Linked DNA regions of Drosophila melanogaster. The protein of the gene in region 1 interacts with the protein of each later gene in a pairwise test. Each region holds a gene or a part of one and is shown in the gene's direction. Other genes may lie near its edges. The genes, in order: Srp54, CG14490, CG14323 and CG10324.

Region 1 (8,575 bases):
GGCAAATGCAAAAAAAGGCACAGATACGCATACGCATACGCACTCACACAAACGCACTGTGATCACAATTGATTTTAGTGCCTATTGTTGTTGCTTTTGCTCGGATGACTGGTGGCTGCTGTGCGAGCGAGAGGGCGAGATGAGTGATATGAGCGGGTGGCTCGTTAAGTATACGCACCGTTGGTATCGTCTATTTTTGGTTTGTCGCTTTGTGCTGCTTGTTCTCGGCTCGTTGTCTGCTCGTCGTCAATTATTACCGATTCCGTTTTGGTTTCTTAATTTTTGTTCGCGTTGTTGTGTTCGTTCGTTTTTCTTTTTATTGTGATTTTTCTCTCATTTAATGCAGATCGCTCGCTATTTATGTATATAATATAGTTATTGTTCGGATTACTCTCACACGTACACATACAAGCGGTCACTACACGCATACAGGCGCGGCCAAAATGAGGGGATTATTAATTGTTATTTATATTTTCCTATACTACTCTTCATGTTTAGCCTGCACGCGCTGTTTGTTTTCACCCGACTTGTGCGCCGTATTCTTTGGCAATTGCCAAAAACTGCTCACATGTGCCGCCGCATCTATATTTATAGTATATGACAGCGCTGCGAATGATGACTGTATCGCAGCACTATGTAGATACATCTATAAACCTATATGCAGTTGGCGTTGCTTCCGTTTCCGTTGGTCAAAAACAATAATATCAGCGGGCTGGCAGAAAGACAAAATAAAAAAAAGAACAGACTATTTCAAATTATTGGCCCGATTTATTTAGCGTTTTAGTCGCCGCCGCGGCACAATATGATTTCCGCTCGCAAACAGTTTGTCTATTTTTAAATAGAATTCAAGAAAGTATTCGGGGAGGAAACGTATGTACTTATGCATGAATCACATAATCCCGATTCGTAAGAGCAAAATATAAAGGATCGGGGATGTAATTGGATTTAAACACATTTAACTACGGGACAATGGAACCTTGGAATTTTGGTTTTACTTTAGGTTTCCATGGGTTCGTTGCTGTCGATCGAGACACTATATCTGCGGGGTATATCTATTTATCGATGTACGCCGTATTATGTGAGCATGTATGTATATTCGCACGTATGTATGTATATGGATGTGAGTAACGCTGCCGGCTGCTACACTGGGCGCAGGCTTTAACTTAAAAATTAAATCATCGGCGCGAGCGATCAGTTGAAGACTAAAGACTTGATGAATCGCCGCGCCAGCCGAAAGCTCTTCATTACAGTTGTGCTCTCTGGAAAGCGATTCTCCGCTTCTCTTTGCACCACACAACCAAAAGAATCTCGTGGGAAAATGCGAGAGCGATCCGTTTAGGGTTGTCGAGCGGCTCGAACTATAGAGCAAATATGTAGAAATAAATGAACATGATCGCATTCGTACACAAAATGATCTTTATCCTTATAACAATAGTTTCAATTCGATACATAAACAGAAATTACAGAAATGAAAACTAATCATGATGACAAATCAATAAAACAAGAATATTAACTTGTCTGCCTTGGTTTATCGTGGAAATGTTGCTGTTACTAATGAAGAAAAACTAATGTCGCCTCAACGGTGAAAAATTACTAACTCGATTTATGATCCACTTTTGGCATACCATACACCAAATCTCTCCTTGCATACAAGTTTAAAAAATATACAAATACAATATTGTTAGAATAATTCAAACGATGTTAACAGGATTTGACAGCGGTAGGACGATTAGACCAAGTTGATCAAATGCTCGCGCAGAATAAATACGGAGGTGGGGACAAGGACGAGAACGAGGACAACGAGAATGCCTATTTGGCGGGCGAGGCTATGGAGTTGTTTAGTGAATTGTTTAGCTGCTCCTCCTGATCCTTGTCCAAGCCAAGGGCTGTGGTCAACAGCTTGACCACACATCGCTGCTCGTGCACCTCGCCCTTCTCGTTGGAAGTAATGTCCTTTTCTAGTTTTAGCTTCTCTTCGGCGGCCATCAGGATGCCCTCCTCGATGGTACTCTCGGAAATGAGACGGTAAATGGTCACCGGACGCTGCTGTCCCATGCGATGACACCGATCCTCGGCCTGTTTATCGTTGTACGGGTTGAAGTCGATATCGTGAATGACACAGGTGTCGGCAGCCGTCAGGTTGATGCCAACGCCACCGGCTTTGGTGGAGAGTAGGAACACAAAGATGCTATCGTCCCCATTGAAGTCGGTGATCAAATCCTGGCGGACATTTACGGCGGTCGCCCCGTCCAGGCGACAGAAACCAAACTTTCGTATTCGCAGATACTCCTCCACAATGTCCAGCATCATGGTGAACTGGCTGAAAAGCAACACACGGTGTCCTTCTGCCTTCAGTTTTGGAAGCAACGTATCCAGGTAGAGGAATTTTCCAGAATCGCATATCAAATTATCGGGTATTTTCACGTCGTAAAACTCCTGAAAGATGCACAAATTTAGTCATTGTCATTGGACAACCTCTTTGATAGTCACTTACATGCTTGTTCATCATCTGATAGACCTGAAAGTCTGACATAACGGCTAGCTCTTCAAAGATGTATTGCTCGTTGGTCTTTTTAAAGGAACTGGCATTAGCCAGGCGCTTAGAGAATCCACGTAGATTGGCGTCGGTGAAGTAGTGACGCATCAGCAACGGATGGTTTGCAATGCGGCGCATCTCCATCATGATCGCTATGCCGGCCCTTTCGCTGCTGCTGCACACCTCGCCCTTGTTATTGGAATAATAATCGACCAGCTCGTGATAGTATATTTTCTGTTGACTGCTCATGGGCACTTTTTCCTTTAAATAAAAAACAATTTAATTATTGTATAATATTTATTTTCGCCCGACGTACTTACCACCAGGCTTAGCTTCTTGGGCAGGTTCTTAAGGACATCTTTCTTAAGCCGTCTGAGTACAAATGGCTTCATGATACGCTTTGCTCTCTGGATTTGTGTTTCCTGGAACTGTGAAACCTCATCCTGATCTCCATCGCTTTTTCCCTTCTGCAAGGAACATGAAGTTTATATATTGTTTTGTGTGAAACCAATCTTTGTTTTACCTTAGCAAACAACGATTTTATGTCCTCAATGCTCTTGGCAAAGAATTTGGGCATCACGAAGCAGAGCAGAGAGATTAGCTCCAGCAGATTGTTCTGCAGCGGAGTTCCAGTGAGCAGGATTCGCATCCTAGCGTTTATGGTTATAAGGTTAGCATAGCGTTGCGTGGTCATGTTCTTCAGCATATGGGCTTCATCAAAAATGACGTAGTCCAACTTGCAAACCCGGAACATTTTCCTCTCCTCCGGCGTGGATCCCACAATGTGATATCTGTTCAAAATGTACAAGAAATTTAAGCTTAGATTCTTTTATGGCTTTGTGGATATTTACGTGGTCAGAAGAACATCAAAGCCGGTAAATCCATCCTTGGCAAAGCGGCCTCGCATTCTCCTTCGCTCGTCCTGCGAGCCATGGTACTTCTCCACCACCAGTTCGGGACACCAGCGGCTAATCTCTGCCTCCCAATTATCCAGCGTGGACGAGGGCACCACAATTAAATGTGCAGCCTGGCTAAGACCATTCTCCTTTAGATAGGCCAGAAATGCAATAACCTGAATTGTCTTGCCCAGACCCATTTCATCTGCCAAAATGCCATTCATTTCTTGTTTGTGCATTACGGTGAGCCAATTAAGGCCAATTATCTGATAATCAGCCAGCTGTAGACTGCAAGAGGAACGAAAATAGAAACACAAATGGGGACATGCATGCTGGTTAAGGCTCACCCGCTGCTAAGAAGCTTAGGTTGCTCCACAATGCCAGCACCATTGGAAATCGCCTTCTCCAGACGCGACACCATGTTATTGCACTTACTTAGAATAGCGGCCACCGTGTTCTGTTTGTTAATCAGCTCTTGAGCGTAATTCAAAAGATCACCCGACATCCTGATGCTCTCCAGCTTTTGGCGCAAATCAGACCAATCACTAAATGGTCGCACATCAATGATGGCTAATGCCTTCTTCTCGGACAGCGTTTTAACTGACTGGAGTTCAATTAGCGAAGCCTCGTTCATAAACTGGAAAACTTTTTTACGTTGCCCCGTCATCTTGGTGGACATCTCGCTATCGCTGTCATCGCTATCATACACCTGGTCCTTGGACTGCTTCACATCATCGTCGTCCGAATGGTCGTTATCCGAGAAGTTGCCTCCACTAATTCCGTTTGACCTGGGTTTCAGCTTGGACTTGGCCAGTGGTCCATTGTGCCCCTTGGGCTTGCAGTTCTCCCTTAGGTATCGCACGGAAGCGGCCACATCCCAATTGGTGCGGGAAAGAGACTCCTGGATGGCCTACGGAACATATTTGAAATTTATTTCAGTTAAAATCGAGATTTATGCAAAATATTGCATTAAAAATGAGCAATTTTAAGCTATAAAATATTCTGATTAATTTTAAAATTCAAATAAGAACGGTGATAATGTCCGGAAATATTTTATATGAGGCACACCAAAGTAGTGGAAACAGTTACACGAGAGGGTTATTACTGCTCCCATCCCCGTCAGTGACGCCCCTGGCTAACGACAGCTGTTCGCAACGCCGGGCCGAACCGAATCGCCATGTTCCCCGAACTCAGATGCAGAGACGCGCGTTTCCCCGCGAATCGCCCCGTTTTACCTTGGTGGCATTTCGGCCGGAAACCTACCATTGTGTCAAAGTGGGGCGAAATCTTGGCGGCTGCCATGTAGCGCTCCTCCTTTTCCTTAACGGTCAGCTCCAGTTTGGTCTTCTTGGGCGTCTGGGAGTCGTTGCCATCGCTGTCACTATCGGCCATCACCTGGATGCGCTTCTTTCCAGGCACACGCTCTGAAATCAGGCAGTTAGCTACCGTGTCAATCGCTTGGAATTTTAGCTCAGCAAGTACCAGTTCTCGAAGGACTAGCGACGACAGAGGAAGCATTCTTGTTGATGCGGAACTGACGCAGATCGCTGAGGCTCGACTTCGCGGACGATGAGGCGGAGGCCGACGCAGATGCGGCCACTGTGCTGTCCGACATCGTGGGACAAGGCGAAACGCTTCCTGGCAATCTGTCAGTCCTTATTAACAAATTCTGTTTGCAACTCCTACAATCTTAAGTTGGTATTTGTGAATATTCGCATGCTAGTGCGGCCGTTTGATTATCCCGATAAAACCTATTTCTATTTCTCCAACGGAATGCGGTCACACTGTGCGCCAATTTAAGTATTAGCTTAATGATTATTATTATTTTTCATTTATTTTTATCGAACTGTAACGCATTAGTGTAAGCTTCTATGAGATTATCTAACAATTTGCTTTTGTATATATCGTATATGATTTGATTTCGTCAACCTAACCGTAAGTAATTAAAACCGATGCCAAAATGAAAGAAAGAAACTTAAAAAAATCCCAAACTGGCGGTAAATTAAGAAAGTTGCCAGAGTTGCCAGATGTTATCGGCTTACCGCAAGCAATCGGCCAACAATCGAAACATTGGGACGCGTTGCAACCCTCTCTTTTTTTCGCTTGCTCTTGTAGGTTAATTGAAAACACTTTTATTGCAAATAAACCGCTTGCCGAGCCAAGGGCAAACCGATAAACTGGCAAACATGGCTGGCGGCAACACCCCGCGTGTGATCCAGGTGACCAACATAGCGCCGCAGGCCACCAAGGACCAGATGCAGACGCTGTTCGGGAACATTGGCAAGATAGAGGAGATCCGCCTGTACCCGACAATCCGTGATGTCTCCTGTCCGGTGCAGTCGCGCATCTGCTATGTGAAATACACGGACACGACCAGTGTGCCGGTGGCCCAGCACTTGACCAACACGGTGTTCATCGATCGCGCCCTAATTGTCATACCCGTTCTGGCCATACCCGAGGAGTATCGGGCCCTGGAGATGCTCAAGAACGGAACCATTGTGCCGGGACTCCAGAAGCCGGACTCCAAGCTACCGCCCGAAGTCATTAACCGCATCGAGGGACAGCTGCCGCAGCAAGTGATCAAGACGTACGACCCCAAGTTGGTGGAATTCAATCTGCCGGAGTACCCGGCCTTACCCTCGTTCTACGATGCGCGCAAAATCGAGGAGATTCGGCGCACCATTATCGTGTGCGATGTTAAGAACGAGTGGCGGCTAGACGATCTGATGGAATGCTTTCAGCGCGCTGGGGAGGTGAAGTATGCCCGTTGGGCCGAGAAGGATAACAAGACGTACTGCATGATTGAGTTCTGCGAACAGACCAGCATTATTCACGCCCTGCGCATGCAGGGCCAGGAGTTCAAGGGTGGCCATCTAAGCGTCTACCACTCCACGTATTCCATAACCAAGCCGGAGGCAAAGTCGAATGAGGCAGCGCAGGCTGAGATTGAGGAGGCCATGACCATTGTGAAAGAGGCGCAGAGTATGATCTCAGCGGCCATTGATCCGGTAATTGGAATGCTCGCTAAGGACAAGCGCCGCAGGTCGAGATCACGGTCCCGTTCCCGGGACCGTCGCACCAGTCGATCCCGCTCGCATCGTTCCACATCGAGACGCCGTTCCAGGCGTTCCGGTTCCAGAGAGCGACGTAGTGTGTCCCGATCACGCCGCTCTAGGTCGCGTGGCAAGCACTCGTCCCGTTCTCGCAGCAAGCGCTCAAGATCACGACACCGTCGCAGCTCCTCACGTTCCAGGAGATCACGCTCCCGTGGCGGCAAGCACTCTCGCTCCTCAAGGTCGCGTGGCAAGCGCTCCAGGTCCCGCCATCGCCGCAGCACCTCACGCTCACGTAGCTCGCGTTCCCATGGCACCGGTGGAGGAGGCAGTGGCAACGGCAAACGTTCCCGATCCCGCGAGCGCAGCAAGAAGTCACACCGCAGCGAGAAGCACTCTTCACGTTCTCCCCGATCTAGAAGCAAGCGCAGCTCTCCCTCGCCGCCGCCAGCTACCGGCAGTAAGTCACGGTCCAGTCGCAGCAAGGATCCGGTCATCGTTTCCGCCAAGTCATCCCGGCGGCGCGACCGCTCCCGTACTCCCGAAACTCGCAAACTCAAATCCATCTCTGAGGACACTGAGGTTAAGAGCTCACGATCCAGCGCCGATTCGAAGTCACGCAAATCGGTTAGTGTCGAGAAGTCGGACAACATGGACATCTCCAACTCGCCCTAGACCTAGAGAGATTGCATACTACTTTATAATAAATACAGAACTTAAGCAACCCCGTCTCCAGTACAACCCGACACCCATTGTCCTCAATGAGATTTGTATTTCACTCAACTCTGTCATAGTTTTCAAGTATAAAGTCTAATTAAAACTGAAGCATTTTCTTTCGTAATGAAAAAAATAGTACATACAAATATGAATGATATCGGTATCATAGCAGTACAATTTTTTTTAATTTTTTGCCAAGTACGGATTGTTTATTTGGAAACTATAACAATCTTATTGTCTTCTTATTAGGAAAACCCAATACAAATGCAAGTTAAATTAATAAAAAACTTTCTAATGAAGACCAACTTTAAAACATTGTATGATCAACATTTTGTAAGGAGTACTTAAGTATGCAAAATTGCTTTGATAAATATACATTAAGAACGCATTAAAGAGACTTGTATTTAAAAACTAGAGGATTGATTGAGTTTCATCAAAAATCGAAATTCAGCGATGGTGACTAATCGTCACTAAGAACAAAGGAAGGAACAAACTGCAGCTAATTTTGCACAGTGTATTCTACAGCTGTAATCGGTGGGCTTGTCTCACTTTGTTTGTCAGAGAGCGGGGTAAAGCTTTTCGAGCTTTCATCCAATAATATGTCGGCGATGGCGGCGAATCGCGACCAGAAGTCGAAAGTTATTGCAGTGCGATAGTCGCCTTTACTTGCATTAATTTATTTGTTGTTTTATTTAAGAGTGAACCCACCTTAGAAAATGTCTGCCGCAACCAAAGGTAATTATGTGAATCCTTTAGGATATGCCTATGCTGTTGGAAGTCTAGATAAGAGATGATCTCGCTAGAGAGATCTGAACTTTGGACTCGTTGGTGTCTTATCTGATGCTATCCCCCCCCCCCGCGTCCAGCCGGTTGCACTTTGGACCTGTTGAATCGAAAACAAAAATCCGCCTTCGTTCGAGCTAAATTTGTGCTATCACTACGCACATTATATATGTTATACATATGTTCGTATGTTTCTTCTCCTTTGTAAAGGTATCTATATTGTGGCTGCCAAGCGTACGGCCTTCGGAACCTTCGGTGGATCCTTGAAGGGCATCAACCAGACCCAATTGCAAACCACGGCGGCCAAGGCTGCCCTGGATGCTGCCGGTCTTAAGGGTGAGCAAGTGGACACCGTCATCGTGGGAAATGTGATCGCGGTAAGTTGGATTGAAGATCCTAAAATAGAAACTCTTAAGGCGTCGGATTAAAACAATATTAAGATGTTATTAAACTAAAAGAAATATGTAAATGTGATAAAATACTTGTACATCTGGTTATGTAAATTAATTTACTCGATATTTATTTGTTATTATTGCTTAATTGCAAACTCAGTAGATCAAAAACTGGAACTACATGCTTATATTATGTTT
Region 2 (7,351 bases), on another chromosome or scaffold:
ACTACTGCGAATCAAGTGCTGTGCAACAACACAACGGCAAATTGAAACGTTCTAAGAAAGTGCTCCATAATTGAGGCAGGGCGTTGTCGATAACCAACATGGGACCTTAATGACCTGATGGAATATTTTTTTATTTATTAACAAATGCCAGACATTGGAAGGCAGCCGATCGGTACAATTTGTGGAGCATAAGTTTCGATATTTTCACTTTAGATCTTGCTAAAGAGCTTGAGAACTGAAATATTAGTAAGCTAGGATCTTTAACACTAGAAAGGAGAACCTATTAGACTGTATACAGAATCAAAATTCAAGTTGAAGCGGACTTGTTGCTTTTCTTAGAACTGAGAACTAACAGCAAAAGATACATTCTTAGCCTAGTTTAGATACTAACTGGCTAATATTTATTGTCGCAAAGAGAGGGCATAGAATATTTATCAGACTAATTATATCTGATCCATCCGAGAGCGAGAGTAGTCCATGCCACCCTTTGAAGAGGGTGAATCCAAGCCAGAGGAGCAGATACCTCTAAAGCCGCCCCGACGCCACAAGAAGATGAAGTCAGCGGACCAAGAGGCCGCCCAAACGCCGGCGGAGGATCACGAGGAGGAGCAATTGCTGCCGGGCAGCGGGACGAGCAATCTGCGTTATGCCCGGGCCAATTTGAGCCAGAGCAGCCTGATGCTGAGCCACCAGCAGGGCTCCTTCGAATCGTCAACCGAACGAACGGCGAGCAGTGAGACCCTGGATGTAATGCCGATATCGAGGCGCTACCAGGTGCATCCACAGCCGAACCGCTTGGGGATTCGGCAGCCAGCCTCGGCCTTGGCGAGCGCTCTGCATGCCACTGCCAGATTGGCGGCCAGTGTGGATGCCTATACGGCGGCGGCTACAGCCACAGCGGCAACCGGTGACTACGGCGATTATATGCGCCCGCAACCGAACCTCGGTCACGCCCACCAACTGCCCCTCACCCAGACAACCCAGACAGCCCAGCCCCTGCACCACCAGCTGCCCGCTCACCAGCTGGGCAATCTGAGAGCGAGCAATTTTGTGGGGTCGTCGCGGTATCTCTATCACAGCCAGTTTAATTCGAATTCGCCGCAAACGAGACGCTTCACTGCGCAGCGAGACGGGTCGCCAGCATATGCGGCTTCAGTGGCGGCAGCTTCAGCGGCGGCCGCAGCTTCAGCAGTAGCACCGATAGCGCCACTAGCACCACTAGCCTCCATAGCATCGCCCCCATTTGCGGCCCAGCCGCCGCCCTTTCAGTTGCGCACCTACCAACAGAATCAATCCTACCGCTTTCAGCCGCGCGGACACCATCGCACCGCCAGCAGCAGCATGTCGCAGTCCGGCGAGGATCTCCACTCGCCCACCTACCTGTCCTGGCGGAAGCTCCAGCTTAGTCGGGCCAAGCTAAAGGCATCCAGCAAGACGTCCGCCCTGCTCTCCGGATTCGCCATGGTGAGTTTAAACTCTTAATTATTGAGACTTTATACTTTACAAAGGGTTTATACAATACATTGACAACTGTTGTTTTAAAATTAATGTACGTAAATATCAAAGCAACATCATTATACAAAGCTAATTTTTCATCGAAGATACATAATGTAACAAATTAGTTTAGTTTTAAACTGAATCTCTAAAAGAGCAATTAACTTATAGATACCTTGGAAATGCACATAAAAATCCATTATAAATTACATTTCGAAGGAAAAGCGATTTGGCGCAAAAATCACATTAAGTTGGGCATTTATGTGTATTAAAATGAAACAATTAGGAATTATTAGGCTATTTTGTAGACTACAATTTAACTACTTTTTTGCCCTAGGTTATAGTTCTATGTTTTTTTTTTTAACATTAAGCCAACTCAATGTGCAGGGCCAGAAATGATGGCAAAAACCACATAATCTTTTTATTTGGACATCGCATTTCTGTTTGTTCAGCACAAAAGGCGGAAAATGCCACCACGAATATGGCATACACTGTAACAAAATAATTATTGTTATTTTATAATAAGAGTGGTTTCCACTTGGCGTATCGCGCAACGGAATGCAATCTGTTATTTGTTCCGTTTGAGTGCCCATTAACCTACTCGCAGTCGCATTTAAGTAATTTCAATCATGACAGGGATATATAAATATATATATATGTATATATATATATATATATCATACATCAATAATTAGCCTTCTGTACCTGTGAATATTGCTAACCAACATAATTATTTTCGATGCCGGCAGCAAGAAATTGAGGGCCAACGAAATAGATTTCGTTTTATTCCCACTATCGTTTTCTTGGCCAAACAAGTCTGTTAGCTGTTTGCCGTGCATATACTCGTATGTATTTCTCACCCATTAATTATGGGTAGTTTAGACTATTGCAATATTGTAGCAGTTTTGCTGAAGAGGAGCAAATATCAAAGCAAATATCAACATACATCATGATACATTCGTTGGTTTCCCAGCATTGTTAAAATTCCCACTTATTGTCTAGCAATTCCACACACGACACAGTTAAATCTAGATAAATTATTAAATTATAGTATGCAGTACATAATATTAAATAAATCAATTGGAAAATGTGCAAGTATTGCAGGTGCTGAATTATTATATTAATTAATTGAGTGACGAGGTATTTATATGTCGCTTTTTTTTTTTGGTTCATCAACTTGTTATGCATTCCACATGTACACCTAGCATGCTGAAGAAAGGGAGGCGCGGCATTAGGGGCGGATCAGATAAATTAGGTCCATTCAGATCACATAATATAAGAGAAAAGTTGCTTATTTGCCAATTTTGCAATGTTCTCGCGAGAAATGGCTAATAATAATAAGAGGCGATGCCGGGGAATCGTTTCGATTTCTAACCAAAATTAAATAAAAATCATTAATGACTTTCTTCACTTTTGCAATTTTCACATAGGTGGCGATGGTGGAGGTGCAACTGGATCACGATACGAATGTACCACCGGGCATGCTGATAGCCTTCGCCATCTGCACCACCCTCCTGGTGGCGGTGCACATGCTGGCCCTGATGATCAGCACCTGTATCCTGCCAAATATTGAGACGGTGTGTAATTTGCATAGTATTTCCCTGGTCCACGAATCGCCACACGAGCGTCTCCATTGGTACATTGAAACGGCGTGGGCATTCTCCACGCTGCTGGGACTCATACTCTTTCTACTGGAGATAGCCATCCTGTGCTGGGTGAAATTCTATGACCTAAGTCCGCCGGCGGCTTGGTCAGCGTGTGTGGTCCTCATACCGGTGATGATCATCTTTATGGCCTTCGCCATTCACTTCTATCGCTCCCTGGTGTCGCACAAATATGAGGTGACAGTCTCGGGCATCCGTGAGCTGGAGATGCTCAAGGAGCAGATGGAGCAGGATCATTTGGAGCATCACAATAACATACGAAATAATGGCATGAACTATGGCGCATCCGGGGACATTGTCTAGCATCACTTGGCGTATCCGCACAAGTGGATCGAACGAAAAAGACAGCGGCTCAGGGTAAGCTTCAGATTATTTTTAGTGAAACACACATATTGTAAATTTGTAGTTGATTAAAATTGTGATACGCGGAATTCAGTAGATTTCTACTATATATATATATATATGTGCGAGTGCTGCTGTAGTCCTTTATTTTACTTATGGCAATTGCGGATTAGCACGGATATTGACAATGATAAAAGACCCCAATTAAAGCAATACTTCGGATGAATATTCCTCAAAAAATTAGCTGATATTTGTTACATATTTATATTGCGTGTATTTTAAATTGTATGCCATGCCGGATTTTCTTTTTTTGCAACCATCCTTAGGCAGTCTTCCCTTTTTACGTTTAAGACACAACTTGATTGTCAAATTTAATATTAAGCCAATTGTGTAAGCGAAACCGCGCTGTAATTTATACCATATAATTTATGATTAAAAGAATTTTCTATATATATGGTGTTGGAGTTTTATTTTTAATCGTGATATATAGCTGAACAATAGATGCGGATTAAAAGAATGCAAAATTTTAGAGACAATTTGATATATTTTATATGCAACATAAAACAATTGTAAAATAAAGTATTTGAAAATGTACTGCAATATTTATATACGAATTATATTCATAGGTATTCCAATAGTTTTGGAAAATATAACAGTCTATTTTCGATCTTTACCGATGTAAGCTAAATAGCGCTGTAATTTATATACGACTGATTAAACGATTTTTACTACATACACTTAACCGGAACAAACGATTTTCTATTGAGCCAATGTCTTTGGCCTCCTTAAGTTAGCGTGTCGCTGCTGGAGGAAGCCAAATGGTGGCAAGACATGCTGCTGCTGGCTGGGGGGGTTCGATTAGACAAGTGACACCACCGCACGCACACCGCCGCCTAAAGTCGGACGACACCACATGGCACCGCCGCAATTGGACGGACTTGCTCCCGCGCTCAGTCATCGAAGACATGTCGTCGCGTACGAGCGGATATAGTAGTGGAGTTCGCTCTCAACGTTATCCTGGTGGGCAGTACCAGGGCAAATGGTTGGGCCAGCAGCCTCACGGGTTTGGGGTAAAGCAAACGAGCAGTGGACTTGTCTACGAGGGTCACTGGCAGAAGGGTCAACGGCATGGCATCGGAAGTTTGCGTCGCAAGGAGCTCGATGGCCGCATGGAACGCATCTACGTGGGTCAGTGGCGGGAGAACAAGCGGAGTGGCGAGGGCAAGCAGTTCTATCCGGACGGATCCGTCTACTTTGGTCAGTGGCTAGCGGACCAGCGAAGTGGAGAGGGCATCCTATGGCAGGCGGATGGCGGCATCTATGTGGGCGAGTGGCTTCGGGACAAGATGCACGAAAAGGGTTTACTTTTCACGGGTGAGTGTGATAAAGAAATAAGATATGTTCCTTTGGATGTATTTGTTTCATTTTATTTATTTTTTCGCAACTTTAAAAATGCATAAAGATTATAGATAATAAGTTAATATGTTATCCATAGCAACGGGAAATCGCTACGTGGGTCAATTTGAAGGAGGCTGCAAATCGGGCTCAGGTGTATTTTACCATGCCAGCAATGGACAGCGGATTCAGCACGGTTTTTGGAGCAAGGACATCTGTAGAACGTCACTACTGTCCCTGCCACAAGATAAAAACAATGAATTTATGTCAAAAGCTCTTTTGTAACACTTACACACAATATATATATATATTTAAATACCAAGACATTTTCGATAAGAATAAATACGAACTAAGGAGACTACTATCTAATCAGTGCCGATGCCGTGTGCGTGTGCTAATGGACTCCGTTTCGGGAGCCTGTGCTTCCAAAACCTGGCGCCTCGTTCGCTTGGATGAAAGAGTCGCTGTCTTTGGTGTCTCTACTGGTTGGCGCAGCCTGGCTCTGGTGCTCCGTGTACTTGTAGTTATTGTCGGCGTTTCTACTATTTCCAAGCTATTATCCAATGTTAGGACTTTACAAGCTTTGGATGTGGCCTTGGGTTTTGCCTTCTCCCTACTTTTTGGTTGTGTCTTCTTTGTGGACACCAAAGGTGAATCGTCATCGTCGCTTATCTCGATCGCTTGGCAGGCATTTAGATCCACGTGATCCGAAGGCGGTGTATTCTCTGTTCCGCTGCCACCGCTGCTACTGCAACTGGTAGCACTTGGTGGTCGTAGTTCCAGCTCCTCGTAAATTCTGAATCGAGGTGCCTTTTTGGCCGACTGTTTAACTTTAGACGCCGTATTCTTGACTGCTGAAACCGATCCTATTGCGGTTCGTTTCTTATCTTCGGGTGAGTGATTGAATACCAAAGCACGTCGAAGGATTTTGACCTGTGGCTTATCCTGACCCACGGGTTTGAGTTCTAACTGAGCCGTCTTTAGCTGAGCCAAAAAATTGTACTCGAAGTTAATGTCGACCGCGCGTGATCGCATTTTAAGGCCCAATTGAGCCGTTGATATAGCCTCTACATGCTTTCGCGCAAAGCGAAGATAGTTCAGATGATACAGCTGCTGGGCATGCAACATGGGATACAAAGCGCTACTCATCGGAGGTTTTTCCTGCATCCAACTATGCGCTCTTCCATAGAATTCGTCCAATTGTTCGCTGTTTCTCTGCAGAAAGCGGAGACGTGCATGTAGACAGCCCGTTACAAAGTACAAGCATTGCAGCTGGGAATTCTCTCGAAGATTCGCTGGCGCCACATCGAGTGTTATGTAGCGATCCAAGTCCAGTTGGGGATTTGGGCTATGTGGTCGCATTTTGAGCAGATTCGGCGAGGCCATATTTAATAGCTGCTGCTTTCTGATCGGCTCCACCAACTGGAGGAGATGCATATTACTAGCCAGATCTCTAATTGCTACATCCTTAATCGCTTCCTTTTCCGGCCTACTCGTTGGATTCAGCTGTTTTATACCTAAACAATGCTCGATGAGTCTCAACTTCGATTGCGCCTTGTCGAAACTTTCCATTTGCAAATTGGTCCATAACCATGCAAGGAATACCTCTATGGCTCTTAAAGCCAAGCCAGATTGGAGTACCAAATGTAGTGCAATGTTGGAGAAGGACAGTCTTTCGCTTAATCTGTTCGCAGAGCACTCGGTGCTTTCCCTGACAAGAGTCGAAAGAAGCAGCTGCAATGAGCCGCCATCTAAACTGGATAGATTGCAAAAACTTCGCACATTGTCCAGAAGAATGTCCAATTGACGCAGAGGAGTCGGCAGCCTGCAATTCGTTGGCTTCCTTTGCTGATACCCAATTCGAAAGCGCACCGTTTGCAGTGTAAGCAATACAATATCACTTTTTCCTTGTCTCTCAGGAAACTCTTCGCGAAGTTGTTCCACATGCAATAGAAGCAACTGGGCATGACTATAGCATTCCATTCTGGCATAGTAACTGGCGAGGTGACAAAAACAGAGCATTACCGTAGTTTGCTGACGCTTGAAGAATTTGCCATTTTTCAATTGAGGCCACAAATCATCCAGCAATTCCTCTGCTACTTCCACTTCCTCGCCGAGTTTCAGATTTAAACGAGAACTAACCTCATTCTGTGACAGAAAATGATTTAGGGCACGCAGATAGGTAAAACGATCTTCCAGCAAGCGACCCATCCTCAGAAGCAACAGCCAGGCATCATCCTCTTCTGACTGATACCCCATACTTGAAAGTGCATTGGCAGTAGCGATGGCATCGTCAATCAATGCCTCCCAATCAATAGACGTTTCATTTGCGCTCAATGGCTCTTGATCTGCTCGATCGAAGAAGTTGCTGAAGGCCGAGATGGCTTCACTAGCATAGTTGACCAATCGCTGCTCCCTTTGTATGTTCATCTGCCATAAATTCTTGCTGAGTAGCA
Region 3 (7,170 bases), on another chromosome or scaffold:
TGATGATTGGCACTTCCGGTGGCGTTGAGGTTGAGATTGCCACTTGGAGAGGTATACAGATTTGCTGTGCCAGAAGCCTGGACGGCGGTCATGCCGAACTGAGGAACCCTAGTGACCCCCACTGCCGCCTGGTGACCCGTTCCAGTTTGCAAATTGAGTCCTCCGCCAAACTGATCGTGCGATCGGCTATGACTGTGAAATGCAGTGGCATTCAGAGCGGCGTTATTGCTCTGGAAGAGATTGGCTTGGGCTGCGGCAGTGGTAGTGCTGCCCACGCCCTCGATGTGGCCATGCTGCAGTGAGAGTGCATGACCATTGCTGTGGGATGAAGAGAAGAAAGTTTACAAAATTATAATATTTATTTTAGCATTTTTAAGAACTTTTACTGGACTTACGCGTTGACCGCTCCATAAACTCCCTTGGTGACCGGACCCCCAGCGCCTGGAGTGGAGGCGAATACTCCGGCTCGAGCATTGGCAAGATCATCACCGACCCTTACTCCGCATTGGGCGGTTGCCGCTCCGCTCTTTGGGTTTCCTGAAGCCTGACATTCCATCTTATATAATTCTTTGATTTCGTCTTTCTGCTTGCACTCTATCTCTTAGTTTGAGTGACTGCATATTTCCGACGGTCGCTTTTATACTCTCATGTCTTTTGTCGCAAAAGTACGCAACTTCGGTGATTTCCCCCTTTAATTTTCTCTTGTCTGTTAATCATCCTTAAATACACAGCCATATGCATTTGTTTTTCCCCTTTAGATATTGTGAATAATCTCAGTGGGACTCCCAAATGCTGGTATACGTATTGTAAATAAAGAAAATATTTTGTATGGTTCTTCCCATTCAAAGAACGCTAGTACTTTACATACATTTTTATACGTGGACCTCGTTGAATTACTTTTTAAGATCTTCTATTTGAAGAGCATGTCATTTCAGCTATTGACACTTTAATTTGAATTGGGCAAGGCAATTATGAAAATTTGGTCAGGCATATAACGCATGGCGCCGTGGCTTAGTTGGTTAAAGCGCCTGTCTAGTAAACAGGAGATCGTGAGTTCGAATCTCGCCGGGGCCTACACAAAAGATTGTGTCAGTATTTTTTAGTTTTTCATATCTTTTTAATTTTATCTTCATAGTATCATCTATCAAAATCAATACTTGACCTTGAGTTATTTTTAATGATCATTGATACCTCCAACCACCCACCACAGAAGTTTCCAAATTTTCAGGTTCAACATAAGTGGCGCCGTGGCTTAGTTGGTTAAAGCGCCTGTCTAGTAAACAGGAGATCGTGAGTTCGAATCTCGCCGGGGCCTTCTCTCAAACGCGAATTGTGTTGTGCGTGTTTTTTTTCCTACGGGGTATTCAGCTGTCAGTCTTTTGGAATCAGAATAAAGGGAAAACTCTCGTTTTTCTTTTGCACGTCTGCCCCAATGACAGCTGACAAAAAGTTTGGTCGGCGTAAACAGTGGCTACGGACTCAGAATCACCACCACCTCGCACATCCTTCTCGACATCCACCTGTTGTTGTCCTTGCAGTGGCGTTGCATAACGGAAACCGTCCGGCGGAAATGTTCGACAGCATGTTGCGATGTTGTCCACCGCAAGGTGGAAAAAAAACGACCGGAGATCCGGGGCCTCGTATATTTGCCTTGCAAATGGAACGAACGGCTTTTCAATTTCATTCGCTTTTCTGGATAAAGGGGTCTCCCTGCAATTAGCCGACAGTCAGCTTATTTGTTTCAATTTATTTACATGCACTCGGTTCTGGCTTATCTTGCTTTTTTATACACAAACGCACTCAAGCCCACCGATAACTCCGGGCCATATAATTATGTAACAATGGAGGGAAAAACAAACTTCTGACAAGCCGAACAATGGTATATTATATTTATAAATTTAATTTGCAGAGTCCTTTTTGCTTGTAAATCGGATACAGCAATGTCCTCTTCTAATTTCCCCCCGAGAATTAATATCTGGTCGTCTGCTGCGGGACTTCACTTATCGGATACAAAAGTTAGTTGAACGATTCCCTTTTGATGATCTCAAAGTTTGGCCATCTCCACTAAAATATCCCCCTAATATTTGCCCAGACGATATAAGCTCAGTTTCTGGGCCCCAACAACATGTGTTCAAGCATACATATATCATTCGCAATGCTCTAACGCCCACCCCAAAAAAAAGCTGATCCAAGCCTCATCGTCACCCGAGATTTTTAGCAATTGTCAGCAATTTTCTCAATGTACAGGACAGCCCAGAAACTATCTCACAAAACCACTAAGCAAATGTCCCTCGTCCAGGACGATGTGTGCTGTGTATTTTTCTGATTATCCTGGACGGTCAGTTCGGCCAAAGTCGCACACAGTGGGCGTGTACATAGCTGAGGCATTAACATAATTTATGTGGTTCCGCCGGATTTGGCATTGTCGTAAAAAAGGACACTCCATTGTCCGTTTCGAGCTTCGATAACAAAGGCAAAGCCCGGCCGAGGATTGTGGTTTTTATTGTTTTGATGGCAACAAAGTTTGTGGAAAGTTTAGTTAGTTTTTCTGTTGACTTTGCGTATTTTTTTAATTAAATGAATTTCGTGTTGGAGAAATCAAATAGTTGCCAGCTAATCTATGCAGCCATAACTCATATTTTGAAAGAATATCTGGTCGGGGTGTATGAAGTTCATGGTCCGTAAAAACGTGCGAAATTTTCACGGGCGCGTGAATTTTCACAGCCCTTGGTGGTTCTTGTTTTTGTTTTTCCAGACACGGACGTGCGCCACCTCCTTTTTTACCTCGTACTGATTGTTGTCACCTGTTTTTTGCACACTTTATTCGCAGGCCTCCCGCTAAAAGTTGGGTATGCGGGCATGGCTCAGAAGTTGGTGTTTTTCCTGATTCAATGAGTATAGAGTTCTTGAGCAGCACAGCCTTACAGGGTGTTTAGGCGTCGCATTATCTTCAACTGCTTAAAATGTTAGTACACCTGGCACGCAGAACTCATAACTCAAAACGGTTTTTGTTGCCCTCACAAAAGTATGTAATGCGGCAAAATAAAATCAAGCAGCAAAAGTCAAAAACTTCGAGTTTTTCTGTACATTTAATAATGAAAGATTGCTCGTACGTGCGGCTCGCGAGTATTTACGTGGGAAAGGAGAACATTTTTAGGGATGCATACTTGGGAAATCACTGCAACTTTTTTTTATACCTATTTTTAAATTTTTTTAAACCAATATGTAAATTCCGGAAATATAAAATAAAAATAAACCTTCTGGAGATGCGGGGCATCGATCCCCGTACCTCTCACATGCTAAGCGAGCGCTCTACCATCTGAGCTACATCCCCGATGTGAGCGCCGCTAACTATTTTGGACTGTATGTATAAAGAAATAGTGGTTTAGCGTTTTAATTAGATAAATTTGGCAATCTTTGCTTTAGTTTTAATTTAATTTTGGGTTTTCATATAAATGAAATGAAAATAAATAAAATGAATGCCTAAAAAAGGAAATCGTTTTATATAATTTTTATTCAAATACTTAACTTAACTTAAGATATACATTTTCGGATATGCATTTTAATACTTGTACAGATTTCGGTCGGTAACTGGGGCAGCCTTGAATGTTTTTGTATTAATAAAATTTCACGCTTTGTTTGCTTTGCCAAAGTTACAGCACTTGAATGTTCATTACAAGGCCCATTAGGCAGCCTGTCTTCGTGGGACTCACTGAGTTGGAGTTGAGATCGGACGCAAAGTAGTCCGCCTACAGATTTCAGCAGATGCAGTTGGGAAAATGGCAGTGCTCCAGATTTTATTTTTGCTGATCCTGGTCAACAGCAATGGATCTCAGAAAACCGACTTGGATGTGGATGAGGAACCAGATCATACAGGACCAGAACCAATCGATGGACGATCGTTTTTCTTTCTGGGTACTTTGTTTCGTCGTTGGCGTAACCGCTGGATGGCCTCTCACAATCCGGATCCCATATTCGCCGGCCCCGCCTATCCCATATCTGGTTATTACAATTGTCCTGTATATGGCTGCAGCCTGGCGGCTATTGGTCCTCAACCAGGTTACTACGCTACACCTGCAGGATTTTACACCATGCCTCTGAATCAGCAGCAGGCTCAGGGGAACAGCAATGTGTATATCTATCAAAGTGATCAAAATTCCGCGACGTCTGGAAGTCCCATGGGCTATGGGTATCTGAGCGGAGCTTCGCCGATACGACCAGCTCCGCCTTTCCCTCCACCACCACCTGGTATGCCACCGCCCACATCCGTTGGAACGGTACAGGCCAGCGCAGGTGGGTATTCTGGACCAGGAGCAGGACCTGGACAACGGCCAGGACCGTTTCCAATACCCTTCCAATACCCTGGGATGAATGGGAAAACAAGTAGCCGGAGGAAGCGCTCGCCCAAGTAAACAGAGCAGAGCAAAGTAAAAGAAAACAATACAATTTTAATTGAAATGTGTGCGTCAAAAAAAGTTAAGTGAAAAGAGATAAAATTAAGTTTTCGAAACCGGAAAATGTTTTGCACACTAAAAACCGCAATCTATTGCTTAAACTAAGACAAGAAAACTCCAATATCCTACAAAATTATTGGATTATTATTTTAGTGCTGACCAATGTTTTTAAGCTATTAAAAAAGTGTACTTAAATAATTTCGCAATTTAATAAAGACCGTAAAATTAAGTGTTTCCATTGCTTGGTATCAATAAATTTAAATGAAAACCGTTCATCTGTGCAATTAAAATCATTTTGTTTACATTACCAACTAGATTTCGAAAGTGGCGCAGCTCCCCGGAAAAATCCTCAAAAAGGGTTACCCACGCACACACTCACACGTCCATTTATCCATTAACGCCAAAGGAAAAACTCCACAAGCAATCTGCATAAACAAACTCATCATCATCATCCTCACCAGCTGAAGGATGAGCTCGAGGTTCCGGACGAGCAAAGCCGAGCTATCGTAGCTCCGGCATTTGTTTTGATTCCATCATAAACCATAAGATAGCTGCAAACGAGGATGGCTGATGAAGTGGTTGCAAGCTGCCCAAGGAGCTGGGGAGAGATTCAATTGTTTGGCAAATAAATGCCCGGCAGCATAATGGATGGCCATCCATTGGCCTGGTCAGCTCCGTGTCCGCTCCTGTTATTATTTTTATATAACTTGCGAAAATAATAATAGAGCTTGCCCATGCCCAAGGGCGTGGCAGAAGCAAACAACCATGCGACAGTTGAATAAACAGAAGTGTGAAAGTGCAGATAGTGAAGGGATCTGGCCACCGGAATCTGCTTTTCCACATATTGAGGCGTTTGCTGACTCCTGTCCAATGCTCTCCGTCTTCATATGCATTTGTCCTGGAGTTTATTTATGTTTGTTCTAGGACAATAAGGAAAAGCAAGTGGGATGACTCCAGACTCAATTGACAGGTGTTTGTGCTTTCTTTCGGACAACTTTCACTGACCGGAAACGGAAATGAAATGCATAAGTAAATTTAAAAGAGCCCACAACGCTCAATTCTTATCTACTTTCAAGCATTCAAGGCTGAAACCAGAAATTACGACCAAAAAACAACTTATGTTTTCAATTACCAAATGAGTTGACCAAAAGAAGTGATTTTGAACATCTACGCTGGCTATTTTGGTACTTTGACACAACAGTTTCTGACGGGGATGTAGCTCAGATGGTAGAGCGCTCGCTTAGCATGTGAGAGGTACGGGGATCGATGCCCCGCATCTCCAATTGATAATAATTTTTGTTATCAACTATATTTTTTTAAATTATGTTTTGCTTAAAAAAATTTAAATATATTTATTTAAAAAATATTTTACGAAGTTCCAAAAAGTTAGAACGGGCTCAACCGGGATTTGAACCCGGGACCTCTCGCACCCAAAGCGAGAATCATACCCCTAGACCATTGAGCCGCTTGTCCGTTGGCCTGATAATTGCACATTTTACTTTATCAGGCTACGCAAACAAAAACACTGCTGTAAATAAACAAGCAAAACCACTTTAATTAAGAAAAACGAAAAATAAACATTTGTTTGGGAAAAAGAAAATATAAGACTTATTCCTGGAGATGCGGGGCATCGATCCCCGTACCTCTCACATGCTAAGCGAGCGCTCTACCATCTGAGCTACATCCCCTTATATCAAGCGGTCACCGAAAATAATAAAATGCCGAACTTGTTTTTTTCATGAATTTTAATTAAATGGTCAATGTCAACAACTTATAAATCAAATAATACTTTTAGAGGTACCAAAATTGTGGTCTTAGCCATAATATCCACCGTATGGATTGCCGTATCCGCCACCGAAGCCGCCGCCAAAGCCACCTGGATAACCACCAGGAAGACCGCCAGCATATCCGCCTCCTCCGATTGGGTATCCACCGCCGAATCCGCCCCCATATGCGGGAACTGGCACTGGGTAGGGCTGCGGTTGCGGACGATTGCCACCCAAAAGGCCGCCCAATAAATTTCCGAAAAGTCCTCCACCGCCACCGCCGCCTCCAAGGAGTCCTCCTCCGCCACCGAGGAGATTTCCAAGGATACGATTGTCTACTTGCCCACCAGTAGGCTGAGCTCCAGTTCCCGGCGAAGGGCGCTGCTGTGGATACTCATATTGAGCGTATGAACAAGCGCAAAGCGAAAGGAGCACCAGCAGCTAATAAAAGGGAATCCAAATTATTAGGAAACATGTGATCTTCTGTATAACAAGCCACTACTCACCGAACAGCTAATCTTGACCATGTTTCTAGTTCGTCTTAAATGTGACTGACTTGCTTAGCCACCGATTGTTTCAGTTTTTATAGCAATGTTCTTAAAAACCTACGCCCACATTACTCCGGAACACGACCAAAAGGCGACCTTCAACCCATCTGAACTTAACCGACTTCAATGTTTTTCACACGGTTTCTTATATTTTGCTGTTAGTTGCTGTGACTAAGTTTTGATACAATAAAAATTGATAGGTTCGATAAACTGGTTATGGATCAAGTTTTTGCAAGTTCTTTGAACTATGCAAGAAAAGGAAGTTCAGGAAGTGCTGGGACATTGCTATAAATACGGCCGTTCTAAACTTGGCAACGCTTAGATCCAATAGAGAACATGAGGCAAAACAAGGTGAGTGTGTGACTTTTATATCTGCACTTCAGATGACGTGATTTTTCATTC
Region 4 (8,292 bases), on another chromosome or scaffold:
CTACTATAACCGTCGTGGAAATCGAAAACTCCATGCTGATTTGTTAATCCATATAAAGGATTATTTTAATTTGAGCAGGAATAAGACCCGTTATTAGTAGTGGGTATAACATTAAAACTTTGATATTTATCTTTATTTAACTGTGCATATAGACCTTTGTTTTTAATGACCTTACATCTTAGAGAATTGTAAAATTATAACTCAGTCGGTATTCAATTATTTTATATTTTTGTAATATCTCGCGCACTGGGAAAACTATCGATAGACTCAGGGATGATTTTCAGATAGACATTTCAATATCGGAAATGTTGAAATTGCAAAAGAAAACTGAAGATTCGAAATTCGCAGTGTTCTTGGATCACAAGACACTTATAAACGAAGCATATGACGAATTTAAGCTCAAGTCCGAACTGTTCCAGTTCCATGCCAAAAAGACGGACAAAGGCATTGAGGAAGACAAGACCAGGAAGCGCAAAAGGAAAGCCGGCGTAGAAGATGCGTCGTCCTTGGAGGATTTACACTTAGTGAATGAATATCTAGAGCTTCTGAGCAAGCCCGTTGAACCGGAGGACAGTTCACCGATGAAGAGGCACTGGGAGGATGGCTACAACGTGCCCCAGTTGCATGGAGCCAACGAAAGTGGACGGATGCAGCGGTTTCTGAGAGTTGATGGATCCCGTGGCGTGTACTTGATTCCCAATCAATCCCGATTCTTCAACCACAATGTGGACAATCTGCCTGCACTACTGCACCAACTTCTGCCCGCCTACGATCTCATCGTGCTGGATCCTCCGTGGCGGAATAAGTACATCCGCAGGCTGAAGCGGGCCAAGCCGGAGCTGGGATACTCGATGCTGAGCAATGAGCAATTGTCGCACATACCGCTCTCGAAGCTTACGCACCCACGGTCACTGGTGGCCATCTGGTGCACCAATTCGACGCTGCATCAGTTGGCCCTGGAGCAGCAGCTGCTGCCCAGTTGGAATCTCCGGTTGCTCCACAAGCTCCGATGGTACAAACTTAGCACAGACCATGAACTAATTGCTCCCCCGCAGTCGGATCTCACCCAGAAGCAGCCTTACGAGATGCTCTACGTGGCCTGTCGCTCCGATGCTTCTGAAAACTATGGAAAAGATATCCAACAGACCGAGCTGATCTTCAGCGTGCCCAGCATTGTGCATTCCCACAAGCCACCACTGCTGTCTTGGCTGAGGGAGCACCTCCTGTTGGATAAGGACCAGCTGGAACCAAACTGCCTGGAGCTGTTTGCCCGATATCTGCATCCCCACTTCACTTCAATTGGCTTAGAAGTGCTCAAACTGATGGACGAAAGGCTATATGAAGTCCGTAAAGTAGAACATTGCAACCAGGAGGAGGTAAATTAGCTACGCCTAATTATTGTATTTAATTTTTACAAGTACCTCATTAAATAAGGGATTTATAAGCAGCTATGAGTTTTAACAATTTTATTTGTGTACTGTTAATGAGAGCAAATGCATTTGAATTTTGTGTGTAGGCGGCCGGCGGATGGGTTTCCTTCTTCCAGAGAAGCCAACGATGCCTGGCTGAAGCTAAATGTTAAACATTTGGGGTGGCGTGTGTGGGATTTTGTTTTGTTTTTTCTTTTGAGTGTTAAATTAAGTATTAAAGGATAGTAAGCATTATTAATACACGTGGTTAATCGCAGGCTACTACTCCTGACCCTGGGCCATGGCCGCCGGATTGGTGGGCTCGTTGCCGCCGCGTTTCTTTGATCCAGAGACGATATCATCGATGCGCAGCAGCAGGATGGCCGTCTCCACGGCGGTCTTGTAGGTCTGAAGCTTGACGGCCAGCGGCTCCCAGATGTTCTTCACGTTCATGTCCACGATTTCGCCGGACTCGCCGTCGATGCCCCAGGCGCAGACACCATCGCCGGTGTGGGAGGCGTGCTTGGCGCGGAGAGCAGTCAGAGCACGGATCGTGTTGGCGCCGCAATTCTGAGCCAGTGTGCGCGGTATGATCTCTAGGGCGTGGGCCACCGCCGTGTATGGTCCCTTAACCTGCTTGCGCGTGAGCAGCTGGGAGGCAGCCATCTCAACGGCTCCGCCGCCAGCCACCAGGCGTGGCTCCAGCACCAAGTTGCGGGCCACGTGCAGGGCGTCCTGCAGGTTGCGCTCCGTTTCGTTCAAGATGTCCTTGCTGGCACCGCGCAGCAGGATGGTGCAGGCCTTGGGCTCCTTGCACTCCGTCACGAAAGTGAAGTACTCATCGCCGATCTTTTTGACTTCGAACAGTCCAGCTCCCGTGCCCACATCCTTCTCGGTTAGCTCCTCAGTGCGGTTCACGATGGTGGCACCACAGGCGCGGGCGATGCGCAGATTGTCAGTCTTACGCAGCCGACGGATGGCCGTGATGCCAGCCTTCAGCAAATAGTGCTGGGCGAGATCGGAGACACCCTTCTCAGTGAATACCAAATCCGGTTTCACGGCAATGATGTCGGCGCAGATGCGCTGCACAAACTCCTCCTCGATCTGCAGCATGCGGGTGAAGTCTTGCTCCCCGATTATCTCCACGTTGGTTTGGCTCTCGCCCTTCTTGTACTCCAGCGAGCAGTCAAGCAGCACGATGCGGGGATTCTCGATGAGGCGTCGCATCTTGGGATGCGTCACGTCTTTGTTGATCATCACGCCCTTAAGAACACACGACTCCTCGATGGCGCCACCCGGGATCTTCTCCACCTTGGCATAGCTGTGAAAGTAACAAAGTTAAAATTATTTATTCAAAAATAATATGCATAACAAATTTCGTTCTTACCGTTTAATGTCTACCTCCAGACGGCCGTTCTCACTTAGCGTCACTGTCTCGACTGCGTCCAGGGCAATCTTGACGGCAAGGTCGGACCACTTGCCAATGAACTTGGTGCCCACACAGGCCTTGACCACATCGGCCATCTTGGCCTTATCCTTGACGTCCAACTGGATGCTAAGCTGGGACTGCAGGTGGCCGACGATGTCCTCGAGGGCCTCGCGATAGGCGCGAATGATAACAGTGGGGTGGATCTGTTGCTGGAGGAAGGGCTCGGCGGCGGCCAGCATCTCGCCGGCCAGGACGATGACCGATGTGGTACCATCGCCAACCTCCTCGTCTTGTGTGCGAGCAATTTCAATCATGCTCTTGGCCGCCGGGTGCTGCACAGTGATCTCACGCAGGATGGCGTTGCCATCGTTGGTCATCACGATGCCGCCCATTGGGTCCATCAGCATCTTCAGCATGGCCTGTGGCCCCAGACATGTGCGTATCACATCGGCGATGGCCTGGAAAAAGACGTTTTAATCAACAGATGGTCGGAAAACGCGAGAACACAAAAACCCAAGACCCAGACATGTGAGTCACGCATACCTTTCCGGCTTGGATGTTCTCCAACTGCACTTTGCGGCCCGATTCTCTCTTTGTGTTTTGACCTGTCGGCGGGTAATTCGATTGCAATTGGGCTCTACGACGTGCAAATTTCATACTCACTCAACACGAGTATTGGCTGCTGTCCACCGAACATCTTTCTGGCTGTTTAATTTATTTCTGCGTGAAAACAATTGAACTCGTGCTGGCGCTGCCGCTGTTTGAAAGAGAATGAGTGAGGTTAGAACCGCCGATGACACATTATTCGAGAAGGTTCGATAGGATATTGAGCGGACCGGCTTGTTAGTTACTTCTGCCAGTTCCTTCTTCTAGTTTCTTTTCTTTCCTCACTTACTGCTAACTGACTTTTGCGATCGCTTATAAGTTTAATTCAAATTCTCCACAATTCGAAGCAGCAGCTCTCTTAAGAATCGATATCGAGAAACAGTATACTTACACTATGCAGCTTTTGTTATCGATGTCACAGAATTACATTCGTCATAACTGCGATTTTTTGAAGGCGCCTAACTTGGTTTTAAATTTTCCACCCTGAGGTTTAAGCGAAATCAAAACATTAAACTTGTAACAATAAATAATATTTTCTACGGTGTAAGTGATACTGGAAATTAATTTATATTACGAATGGATTTTAAATTTATGTTATATAGCATATTTCTATCACATCATAATTAAAATGTGGAAATTTTGAAGCCTAAAAAGCCTAACCAACTAAACTCAAAAGAAGTTAAAATATAATTTATGAAAATTGTATCACCTTCGAAAAAGAAAATGTTGGAGGATATTCTGAATATAACGGGGGAAAAGTGATTACTTGGAATGATGAGTTACATAAACAGCGTCGAACTTTTTAATATTTGAAGATCCTGTGCTGTATTCAATAAAACTGCTCAAAACGTATTAAATGGATTTCATGGTAGTTTTTATATATAAATGGAAAAACAAATAAGTTTTGCAAATACTTTAAAAGTGTAGTGTAAGCGTTTCATAAATTAAATAAATTATCGATATCGATAACAAACCGCGAGTCAGCTGTGGCCTGTTTGTTTACGATACATTTCGGCTTCAATTTGTTTTTAATAGTTATTAATTTTTTAACTAGACAACATGGAGGCCAAGAAGATATCTTTTGGCTTTAGTAAATTGTCCAAGAAACCAAACATTCTGCCCAGCAAGCAGCCGAAAGAGGAAAGCAAGGTGGAGTTGATAAAATGCTTGGAAGGAAACGAAATCATGCCAGTCGAGTAAGTTAAAATATCTTGAAATAGTTTTATACTCATATGTAATATTTAGCGAAAAGGTGGAAGCTGCTCCTCTTACCATCAAAATGATAGGCATGCAGAAGACTTCGTCCGCTTTGGCGAGTCTGATGAGGAGGCGGGCAGTTCTGCTGGGCGAGGAGGAACCGGATCCAGAGGAGGTGACTCCAGTGGCTCAGTCTATAGCAGAGGTCACCGCAGGCGGTCCAACGGAGAGTCTGGAACAGAGAGCAGCTCGGGAATTGATATCTGCCATCCAAAATAACGGTGCCGAAGGCCTAGATGACCAGAAACTTGTCCTGCCCGCCCTAAGCGCAGACGAACTGCCTCTCGATGGTGCCAAGGAGGCAACACTAGATGACTATGACAACATACCGATACAACAATTTGGCCTAGCCATGCTGCGCGGCATGGGCTGGGTTGATCCACCGCCAAAAAAGAAGGGCTCAGGACCCATCGATGATGCCCCCTTTCTGCGACCCAAAGGCATGGGCCTGGGAGCAGATAAGGCGCTCAAACCTAAAGCTCTACTGGTCCAGCCGGAGAAGAACGAGGTACTGGAGATTAAGAAGCAGGCGTACGTGCGCATTCTGGGCGGAAAGCAGAAGGATCAGTATGGCCAAATCCAAGGTTTTGATGACCATGCAGGGCGAGTAATTGTCAAAATGGCAATTGGAGGGGCCAAAGAGGCGTTCAACGAGTTCCTTTGTCAGCCCGTATCCCGCAAGGAGTACTCTCAGTATGGCAAGTGCATAAGTAAGTGGAGCCTGGAAAATGCAAATCCTTTATATTTGTGACATTTTTATATTTCTTTTACATTTACTTTCAGACACTGCCAAATACGAAGAATTCAAAAAAAATGAAAACGAGCATGGCCAGATTATTGTGAAGCAGGAAAATCCGTCAGGAAGAAGGGACAGAGACCGCAGGGAAGAAATTAGATCAGACCGGGATGAAGCTCAAAATCAAAAGAGTTCGAAGCCAGGGGACCAGAGATCTAGTAAAGAAGACTATCGCATGAAATGCAAGGAAGAAGATAAAAGGTCTTACAAATATGAAGACAAAAAAACGTACAAAGACGAACATCGCAGGACGTACAAAGACGAGCGAAAATCGTACAAGGAAGCCAAATCTAACAAAGAGGAGGTGGATCGAGAAAAGAAGTATGTGCGGAGTGGTAGCTCCTCTGTATCTAAACGCGAGGAACGTGAGCGTCGTCGTTCGCCGAGTCCCAGAGGCAGAAGCCCATCTAAGTCGAAGCGGGAAGACCGTGACCAAAAGCGTTCGCAAAGTCCCCGAAGCACCAGAAGAACAAAGAGTAGTTCAGACGAGGCAGACGATACGGGAGAGTCCACCGAGAGCGACTCCGACTCTGCATATGAACGCAGGAAGCACAAGAAGAAATCATCCAGCCACAAGTCAAGAAAACACTCAAAGAAGTCCAAGAACAAGTCGAGAAAGGCGGACAACGACTCCAGCTTAGAGAGCGATGACAGCCTCGGTGAAAACCATCGTCGTCACCACAGCAAGCACAAAAAGAAGACCAAGAGGAGCAAGCATGTCAGGTCCCGCACGCGATCAAGGTCAAGAGACCGTCAGTGATTGATCTATTTAGTTGAAATCTTTATTTAAATATAGTTCATTAGACGCTTAAGTTCCTTTTTTTATCTTACTTGGGATTATCATAAATTTCAATTAACTCACAAAATAATCACAAAAATGCCTTGTCTTTTGTTGCGCGTTTTTTTCTCTCTCCGTACGCCTCGTTTCGAGAATACTTCTGTCTTACATGTTACAAACTTATAGTAGGAGATGTGATGGGGCCAGAACCACGGATTTGCTAGTTTTCCGAGTTTTTTTTTTCTGTATGCGCTGCTCTTATCTTTTAAGATATTTATAGTTTCAAATTCAATGCGCCTAATGTGTGATTTAGTGATGCGATGTGTGCATAATGGCAAGTAGATGACTTAGGCATGTTTTATATTTTTGGTCAAATGGTGATGAGTTTATCTGGTTGCTTTCCTTTACTGCAGCTTCCTTTTGCCGCACTGGATCTTCTCGTTAATAATCTTCGAGGCCCTTTGGGTGATGGCCTTAAAAATGTCCTTGTTCTGTAGTCCTGGCCACATGAGGATGAGTAGGGTGGCCAAGTACATAAGCAGTAGATTGTTAATGATGGCTCCAATCCAGGCCATAGCCAAAAGACCCAAACTCATGACGATTACAAACTGGAATCAAAACGAATAAATGTGAGATGAAATAATAATAGAACCCGAAGTTTTTATTTACACTTGAGCTTGCAGAAGAAGATCTACTGCACATACTAGGCCCTGAAACTGCTTCTCTGTTTTCATATACATATACACACACGGTCTCTACCGCATCTACTCACCACTGTGGACTTCCGCTCGTTGAAGAGGTACTCGTACCAGACCACCAGGCTGCCCTTGACGGCGCACACCTGGCCGCACACGTCCTCGAACTTGGCCTCCTGGTCGCCATCCCAGTTGACTCCGCCAAAGATCAGGCGCGACACCATGGGGAATGCGTAGTTCAGCAAAATGCTAATGACACCGAGCAGCGACAGCAGGGTAATCAGCGACAAGTCCAGGTACCACAGCACCAGGTACAGGCAGCTGATGACGCCAAACACCACTCCGGCGTAGTACTGCTTCTCCCAGGTTAGCACGCCGTACGCTCCCACGATGGCTGTCCGGAAAGGCTCCAAGTCGTGCTTTAATTTGTTAAGTGCTCGTTTCTGGAAAATGCCGGAAAATGAGGAATCATTATGATATTAACTAATGGGGCTTCAATGGCGACGCCGTTTTCCGGCCGGAAAGCTTTCGGCAGTTCCACCCTTCGCTCACCTGGTCAACCTGCGATGCTGCCATGCTGGCTTTTCTTTGTTTCCTAGCGGTGCGCGTTCAATTCCGAGAAATCTATTTGATGCCCAAAGGTGTTGCTTTCGGTTTGAGCGAAAAATCAATTTTCTTGGGTGTTTTTTAAGTCGCCAAAGTCGCAGTGTGACCGTTGATCGACGTTTTGAAATGACTGATTCAGGGGTTGTTTCACTCAAACAGCGATTGCACTTTCAATCGGAACTTATCGAATTTTTCCCTTTACAACTCTGTTTTAAAAGTTTGTATTAAAAATCTTGTATTGATTTGGCTAAAATCTGATGCTAAATTCTAATGCCACCTGACATTTGGGCTTACATTTTTGTTTAAAATCTTGACAGCATCCTATCATAAAATATTGATTTACTATATCATGATTTTTATAAGCAGAACTAAAAGCCCATAAATGGCTTAATAAAATAAATACATAAATCAAAAATTAAATTGCCGTACTATTCAATTCGAAACTACAAAAATGGAAAGCAAAGCATCATTTTGGCTTTTGCTAGTTAATCAAGCAAATCAACAGCGGCTTACTTAGATAATGAACTCAAAGCCACCACATCTTGTATTATATGCAGATAAAATGTTGTAAATATAGATCTTAAATTCTTATATCAATGGCACGGAATAGCTTTAGTTTATTGCTAAAAATTTACTTCAAAAGAAATTTGTACTTAACTATCATGAACTTTAACGAAGCTACAAAAAAATATATATATATACATATATACGTTTGG

What was found.
Region 2: the proteins of Srp54 (region 1) and CG14490 interact in a two-hybrid assay, tested with the Drosophila melanogaster proteins (one large-scale study listed by BioGRID).
Region 3: the proteins of Srp54 (region 1) and CG14323 interact in a two-hybrid assay, tested with the Drosophila melanogaster proteins (one large-scale study listed by BioGRID).
Region 4: the proteins of Srp54 (region 1) and CG10324 interact in a two-hybrid assay, tested with the Drosophila melanogaster proteins (one large-scale study listed by BioGRID).

Annotation. Positions count from the first base shown.
Region 1 is NT_033779.5:9,907,430-9,916,004, forward strand, and holds Srp54 (splicing regulatory protein 54), read left to right. Parts: upstream 1-5,481; 5' UTR 5,482-5,618; coding exon 5,619-7,160; 3' UTR 7,161-7,615; downstream 7,616-8,575. Other genes in the region: Etl1, read right to left, coding at 1,810-2,436, 2,495-2,797, 2,857-3,003, 3,060-3,327, 3,388-3,720, 3,780-4,342, 4,696-4,856, 4,915-5,047; yip2 (yippee interacting protein 2), read left to right, coding at 7,919-7,937, 8,196-8,362.
Region 2 is NT_033778.4:17,856,334-17,863,684, forward strand, and holds CG14490 (uncharacterized protein), read left to right. Parts: upstream 1-4,426; 5' UTR 4,427-4,465; coding exon 4,466-4,874; intron 4,875-4,939; exon of another isoform or gene 4,940-4,995; coding exon 4,996-5,180; 3' UTR 5,181-5,258; downstream 5,259-7,351. Other genes in the region: orai, read left to right, coding at 478-1,464, 2,925-3,461; thr (three rows), read right to left, coding at 5,265-7,351.
Region 3 is NT_033777.3:17,618,710-17,625,879, reverse strand, and holds CG14323 (uncharacterized protein), read left to right. Parts: upstream 1-3,767; 5' UTR 3,768-3,779; coding exon 3,780-4,412; 3' UTR 4,413-4,681; downstream 4,682-7,170. Other genes in the region: AttD (Attacin-D), read right to left, coding at 1-318, 396-556; CG14326 (uncharacterized protein), read right to left, coding at 6,269-6,661, 6,727-6,747; CG14324 (uncharacterized protein), read left to right, coding at 7,105-7,119.
Region 4 is NT_033777.3:16,643,139-16,651,430, reverse strand, and holds CG10324 (uncharacterized protein), read left to right. Parts: upstream 1-4,426; 5' UTR 4,427-4,503; coding exon 4,504-4,640; intron 4,641-4,689; coding exon 4,690-5,411; intron 5,412-5,484; coding exon 5,485-6,257; 3' UTR 6,258-6,359; downstream 6,360-8,292. Other genes in the region: Mettl4 (methyltransferase like 4), read left to right, coding at 306-1,385; CCT3 (chaperonin containing TCP1 subunit 3), read right to left, coding at 1,692-2,730, 2,797-3,296, 3,382-3,443, 3,502-3,535; Arl6IP1 (ADP-ribosylation factor-like 6 interacting protein 1), read right to left, coding at 6,680-6,883, 7,048-7,413, 7,523-7,546.